Linked DNA regions of Rhinolophus ferrumequinum. The protein of the gene in region 2 purifies or fractionates together with the protein of the main gene of each other region. This does not show direct contact. Links are inferred from orthologs where the notes say so. Each region holds a gene or a part of one and is shown on either strand. Other genes may lie near its edges.

Region 1 (3,749 bases), on a different chromosome or scaffold from region 2:
TTCTCACTCTTAGCCTCTCAGCATCATGTTTCTTCTAATTAAAACAGTTCCCCTTTGCCCCACCGCATTCACCTGGCTGTCAATCTTCATTTGTCACCTCCTCTAGGAAGCCTTCCCAGTTTGAGAGCTTGATTCTATCAAGACTTGGAAATGCTAGGTAGGAAAGAACAAAAAGGGAAAGAGACCAAGAGACCAAGGAGGTGAGGCAATGAGTGAAGAGGGAGGAACCCAAGTGCCCGAGGTGTTGGTAATATCCCGTTCTTTTTTTTTTTTTTTTTTAAATATCCTGTTCTTAACCTGAATGGTGCACATACAGGTGTTGGTTTAATTATAATTCTTTAAACCACAGATCTATAATGTACACTCTTTTTTGTATGTATACTTAACAAAAATATCTTCTTAAAGCAAGGTAAGAGATCTGTTAGTAAAAGGTTGAAATAAAAACATTTTCCACAGATTAGAATTTAGGAGTTTGTACTTCCTGAGTGTGATAACTGTATTATGGTTATACAGGAGAATGCCCTTGTTCTTAGGAGATATATGCTAAAATATTTACAGGTAAAGTAACATATTTGCAACTCTCAAATAGCTCAGAAGAGACAGAAACATGGCAAAATGTTAACAAACAACTGATCAATCTTTGTGAAGGGTCTCTGGGTATTAATGAACAACACATGCAACTTTTCTTTAGGTTTGAAAATTTTCAAAATGAAAAAACAAGTATAGGACCTCCCCTCAAAGGGGTTATGGTATAGAAAAAAGAGCCAATAGACAGAGACGCCACGGAGACAAAAAGGAATTGCGTAGGGGCTAGGAATCTCCGTACTCCACTTCCCACCACTTAAATTGCTCTCTCAAGATCAACAAAGATCTCCTCGTCGATACCCAACAGATGCTTTTCAAATTTTACTTGACTGTTCCTCCCTTTTCTCAAGTCTCTTCTTCCATGATCCACCTCTTAATGTAGATGTGTCCCCAAGGTTCTATGCTTTGCCCTCATCTCTTCTGGGGTATCTAATCGATTCCCGTGAGTAGATGCTAACACTGGTATTAATGATTTCCAAATCTCTATCTGTAATACCCCCCTCTCACACACACACATCTCCAACTAATCCCCACATGTCCAGACCAAACTCATTGTCTGCACCTCCCCCCAAACATGCTTTTCTTCCCATCCATTATCTCCTATCTATGTGACTAGCCAAAAGCCTAAACTTTGCTCAGTATCTAGATTTCTCTCTAAATGAAGGGTTTTTTTGTGGGGTGGTGTGTGTGTGTGTGTGTGTGTGTCCTCTGTGGCAGGCAGAATTTTGGCCCCTATAACCTTCATCCTGTGGTGTCAAGACTGTGAATACTGTATATTACGTGGCAGAAGAAACTTTATGGATGTCATAATTATAAGGTTATTCATCAGTTGACAAACAGTGAGATTATCCTGGATTATCTGTGTGGGTCCAATGTAATCACATGAGCTCTTACATGCTGAGAATTTTCTGTCTGCAGCCCAAAGTGATGCAGCAGAAAGAAAAGTCAGAGTGATTTGAAGGACAATGAGGATTCAACGTGTCACTGTTGGCTTGGTGATGAATGAAACCTCAGTACTACAACCATAATATTTCAGACATGTGTATCCGACTGTGCAAGTGCAAAGTGCTCCAAATAGCCAAATAAAAAGACAATTCCTTCTAGAAATGGAAACGGACGGCAGAAATGGGAACTGAGAGGGGTTGCGGGTGCTCTTCTCGCCACCCGCACCTCCAGAAGACAATCTATAATCCTTAACCAAACTTGCACAACCCTCCACAATCTGCTCTAAACCTACATATCCTACCCAGGGCAACATCTCCCGCGCCTATTAACCGGAAAAGACAAGCGGCCACCTCGATGACTCTAACTCAGGGTCTAGAAACTCAACACCTTAGGACGAGACTTGGAGTCAAGAACAATGCACGCACCAGACCTCCTGTAAACAGGTGAGTACAAAGCATAATCAATAAGAGAACATCGTCTGAAGAAGAGAGTAAGGACGGCTCAGGAGGACAGGGCACGAGAACAATCGAGCCTACCTCCCAGCACAGGTATCGCCGAAGCGACTGAGAGCACGCGCTCCAGCTCCCCGCTACCCGAGGTCGCAGCAGGCGGCGCGCAGGAGCAGCACTCGGGAACAGGGACCCTACCTCTCAGCGATGTAAAGGGTGCCGGTGCCGAGGCCCTTCCCGTTCAGTACAGCCTCGGTGTCTGGCTGCTGCTGCCGGAGCCCCTCAGCTGACCCCGGTGGCGGGAAACTTTTGAGGAAGCTCATTGCAGCAGTGAGCACGCAGACACAGGCCAGGAGGGAGCTGAAGCACAGCAACCCCAACTCGCCGCGTCCCAGCCCGGAAGCGGTGGCAATGACCCCGGAAGAGCAACTTAGTCTGCCCCGGAATTTGAAGGCCATCCACCATAGAGACGAGACGTTCTAGGGCTAGCTTTCGGATGCCTGGGAGGTCTGGCTGTCACGTGACTCTCTTCCCCACTTTCCCTCGCCATTCCTGAGGCTCCCCGCTTCGGTAAGGGAGCGTTCTCCCCCACATCCTACTTTAGGGTCGTCACTGCACGTCCTGTGAGCGAGGAAGCACAAGGAGTAATAAATTCCATTTTTTACAAAAAGGGAAACAGAGGCCTGAGACCTCACTGATCTAAACAGAGGTCAGAGGACTCTTGAGTTTACAGCTCTTACAGTATCACTTGCGCCCGCCTCATCCCGGCCTGTTCACATCACAACTAACAGCCACGCCCCAGACATCAGTCTAGATCCTGACACCGCCCTAGTGCACGAGCCACGTATCCGCGGGCAAAGGAACCCAGAGGTAATTCACTCTGGTGAAGAGCTGGCTACATCTGTAAGGAGATGGGGCGTTGAAGGGAGAGTTCATCCATCAGCTTTGGAGCGTGTGCTCTAGTACTTTTTTAGGCACTTAACAGCAAAGTAATAACAGCAATAAACACTTTAAGTGATCATAATCACTAAGGTAACCGAGTGTCATGTTCACGGCCCTCTTCTAAGCACTTCACGCATATTAGTCATTTCCTCTTTATGACAACCGTTTGAGAAAGTGGCTATTATGGATCCAGTTTTACAAATGACAGGCCTGAGGCGTTAAACTCAAGAGCAAGAGCTTTTAGCCTCGAGAGACCTAGGGGAATCGCGCTAGGCGTCACTTTTCTTGCCTGGGCAATCAGTACGGCCATACCTACGCCGTAGGACTGTTGTGACGGGAGGACGGGACGTGTGGAGCCGTTTTCGTTCTATCCTCTGGGTAGTTAGAGACGTGTTAGATATTTTAATTGGCATTGGTTTGTGGGTAGCGAGAGGAGGAGGAAGTTGTTGCTATAGTATAGGTGAGAGAGTAGCAGTAAGGCTGGAAACAGGGACCAATTCTAGAGCTATTCCAAAGGTAAAATCTTCTGAATCGGGAGATAGATTGGGTGAAAGAAAAGATCAGGATGGATGAAGAACAGAGAGAAGTCAAGAATTATTCCTAAATTCCCAGCCTAAGTGATTGAGTGGATGCAGACTCGTTTCTCCAAGATGGAAAATTCAGGGGAAAGAGTAGGCTTTCAAAGCAGGTAACAAATCCAGTATGGGAAATGGCTAATTTGAGGTTTCCTGTGGGACATCTATATGGGGTTGGCTATTTAGTAAAAGAGCTAATGCTTTGCTCGGAAACAGAATCCCCCAAATAATACGAGGAGAACTTTGGCTAGAA
Region 2 (3,749 bases):
AAGCGGCTACTCTTCCTGTTACTGATAAATCATTCACAAAGCATGTGTTTTACAAAAATTATTTGCCTAAAGTATATTAGCTAGATGAACTTTATGCAGTAACTTGTGCACCTGATATTTCGCTTTTCTAAACCGTCAGAAAATCATAATGCAAATGAGGCAGCATTTAGTATTCCACTATTTTATCAATGCCTTCTGAAATTGACAAATTAAAGACGTGCTTCCCGATTTAGAATTTATTTCCTCTCACAATAACTCTGTTACTCCAACTAAAGTTTTAAAAGTTTGACACCAAAATTAACATGCTTTTTTTTTTTTAAACCTTGTCTGAGCCAAGATATAAATCACCTCAAATTCCCCAGAGTTCACTCAAGCTTGACGTGCTCCCTTTTCTTAAGAGGACTTTTCTGCTTAATTTGCTGTAATTGATACTACATCCAGGGCTCCCAGAAATAAGTGAAGTTTCCTTGAGACTTTAAAAATCCGTGAAAAATTCAAAAAGAATGTTTTTAGCACTTAGTGTAATGATTCTTCTACTAGGGATGGTAATGCTAGCAAGGGAAGCTCCAACACACCTGGTTGCCTCAGAGAGCCTAAAAATGGACCCCCAAAAAAGACAGGAAGGACATCTGCAGAAGCAATTCCGCAAGACCAATGTAAAAAAGCTGAAACACCAACTTAAACACGTAATGGAAGAACTGCATTAGCAAGACTGCCTGGTCCCCTCAGGATTTCTCAGCCCAGACTCCAGGAGTAATTAATAGCACATGTTTTCTTTATCATTCTATGTGTTCTGCCACAATCTCTTCCCAACTTTGACCCGGAGCTGCAACTGGAGGAGAAAACCCTAGAAAACTTTGGGTCCGTAAATATAAAAACCGAAAAGGAAAGAACTCTCCCACTGCAACCGACCACAGTTACAATTTACTAGGTAACCACACCCACCGCATTGCAGAAGCCTTGAACTTGGCTGGGGGTGGAAGGGAGAGGAGAAAGGGGGAGGGGAAGTAAGGCGAGATTAGAGGGGAAATCCGAGAAAGCAAGCCCCCGCTGCAGGAGCCGGGAAACCCCCGCAAGGAATTGGCTGAGACCAGGACTCCAGCGGTCCGACGCCCCGGCCTCCCCACCCCCACCTGCCGCAGAGCTGCTCTCGCAGACACCTCCCCAGGCACCCCGCAGCCCCGCGGGCGCCAGGTGAGCCGCGCCGCTCCCCGCCCCTCGGCCACGGCAGGCCAGCCTCGGCCTCCCAGCGCGGGGGTGCAAGGGGAGGGAAGGCAGGGGCGACGGGGCCCTGCAGGTGCCCTGGCCAAGAGCAACCTCTTTTGGACGCCGCCACCTCCCCCGGCGGCCGAGGTGCAGCCCCCGCCGGCGTCTGAGGGACACTGCCCCAGTTCGGAAAGGAGACAAGTTACATAAAAGCTGCCGGCCCGCTCCCGAGCGGAGATGCTTTGTGCTGAGCGCACCTACCCCCAAATCCCGCTCCCGGGACAAGCCCGCAGCCACGCCGCACAGGGCCCCTCCCGCGCGGGCCGGCCACCCGCCCCGGGCGGCGCCGCAGTGTCGCCCTCCCTGCGCAGCCTGCCCGGCCCTCGCCCCCGCCCTCCCAAGGGGTAACTTAAAACATGGCGCCCCGAACGGGGGATTTAGGCAAATTGAGCGAGAAAAGGCGCGGGGACCGAGTCGCCCTTTTCGGCGAGGGCTCCGCAGGAGACCCCCCACACCTCCCCACAGGCCGATGTTCAGGCTCCGGGCGCCTGCCCAGCCGATGCTGCAGCGGGGAGGCGGGCGGAGGGCACGTCCCGGGGCACGGGGTGCGGCGCACCGGCTCGGCCCAGCAGGGATCCCAGCAGGCGAGCAGGCGGGGTCCGAGTTGGGCCTGGCCGAATCTGGGCTCGGGCGATTCCGGCCGCCGTGCAGCGCGGGAGCCACGCGTCAGCGGCGCAGCCCCGCGCGCCTCGCCCCTGGCCTCCGGCTTGTTCTCCGCACCCCGCAAAAGGGAGACCCCCTGGGATCCCCGCGTTCCAGCAGACAGAAAAGTTACCTCGGCTGGGCAAGGAGCCCGGGCGCGCGACGGCGTGTGGATGGGCTCGGCGCGCGTCTTCCCGGCTGTGCGCAAGAGGCGCGGGCGTGGGGAGGAAGCCGCAGACGCGGGCTGTTTGCCGCGGCTCCCCGCCCCCCTTTGCAGGGGATTCGGAGGCTCGGCGGAGCTGCGGCGGGGGCACACGCCCAGAGACCGCGCAGAGAAAGCCAAGCTCGTCCTGACTCCGCTTCCCGGCTGCGGGGGAATGGGCCACCGCAGTACTTGAGGACTGTTACGTGGTAACAGTCTTCTCCATCCAGGCGTAGGGTCAGGCTGGGGACAACACCTCGCGACAGCTGCCAATGGCGTTAGCCTTTGGATGTCCACTTAGATTATTGCCTGGGCCCTCTAATCCCCTCCTCTCCCTTCCCAGACACCCCTTTTGAGAGTGGGGGGAAGGTGTGCCTGACCTTCAGGTGAGTTATTTATTAGCTTAGGGGCTACAGTAATTTTTTTTTTCTTTTTGAAAGAAAAAAATTCAAATTGGTGGCATCTTGCACAGGGTGGGCACTCAAGAAATATTAAGTTAATAGAGAAAATCTGAATTAAAGGTGAGGGAAGCGGTTTTCTTTCCACAGCCTTCTATTCCTCACTATCTCCCCCTGCCCCCACCATGAATGTTCACAGTTACAGGTGGTCTTCTAAGCTTCCCAGAATAACAGGAAGTCATTATTGATAAAGCTTTACACTGAAATGGAGAGGAAGGGGCTCACACTCTGATGTGTAGGTGACAGAAATTATTCCTGGTCTTCTCACAACATCTAAGTTCTAACTGAGTAACCAAGACATATTTATTGAAATGTTTAAGGTCCTCTCCATATACTCCTAGTTACCCCTCTAGGAGCTCACCAACTCATTGAGGGAGGGAAAATGGACTCACAAAAATATTGTATTTACTGTTGGGGGGCAAACATGTGATGCAGAGTAAATGCCAGTGGCAGAGATTAGTGAGCCTGGTGTGTCCCTGACACTTGGCCTGGGTTTCAAGGACAGGGAAACAGCAATAGAAAAGGGAGGGGGCGTTTTTCATGTTTCACTGGAGAGAAGGTTGGAAAATAATGGTAACTCAGTTGCTATGGAGTTTATGGACCCATACTCTGTGGAAGACGTGCAGCTTTGGGAAATTCTAAGCAAGAATATGTGATTTACTTCATGTTATAGGAAAAATAATCTGTTGACACAGCAAAAACGAGAATGGACAGTCAAATACCAGGAGCTAATAGGAAGTGACTATGGCATTGTTCCAAGTACCAGGGCCTGAACTGTCTTTGAAGTGACAGATAAAGGTGGTAGTTCAAATACTGGATGATATATTTGGGGATCACCTGTATTAATTTTCTGTTAGGGCCACATGAGTGTTAGAGCTATATATACACATAGTACATTTGTACTTACATGGTTGTATGTGTTGCGTATAAGATCTGTGCATGAAGAATGGATTTACATATTTTCCTTTTTTGTGTTCACACTAAAGTGCACCCCTTTAAAAGTGGACTTGAACAAATTGTATTGTTTACAACAAACACTAAGTTGGTATTATCATTGGAGACACAGATGGTTTCATGTTTTCATTCATTTTATTGCCATGTTTTGGCTTTTTTTTTTTTTTAATTGAAAACTAACTGTTCTCCCGGCTTCATGAATCTTAATCTTTCTCATGATGTAGAAA

Evidence for each region.
Region 1: the proteins of EPB41L3 (region 2) and CLNS1A purify together in Homo sapiens (affinity purification with mass spectrometry; 3 studies listed by BioGRID and IntAct, with this or other methods). This does not show direct contact. The link is inferred for Rhinolophus ferrumequinum from reciprocal best matches to the Homo sapiens genes EPB41L3 and CLNS1A.

What each region holds. Positions count from the first base shown.
Region 1 is NC_046294.1:51,909,944-51,913,692, forward strand, and holds the start of CLNS1A (methylosome subunit pICln), read right to left. Parts: upstream 2,386-3,749; 5' UTR 2,303-2,385; coding exon 2,178-2,302; intron 1-2,177. UniProt on the Homo sapiens protein: Involved in both the assembly of spliceosomal snRNPs and the methylation of Sm proteins.
Region 2 is NC_046302.1:12,120,247-12,123,995, reverse strand, and holds the start of EPB41L3 (band 4.1-like protein 3), read right to left. Parts: upstream 2,360-3,749; 5' UTR 2,042-2,359; intron 1-2,041. UniProt on the Homo sapiens protein: Tumor suppressor that inhibits cell proliferation and promotes apoptosis. Modulates the activity of protein arginine N-methyltransferases, including PRMT3 and PRMT5.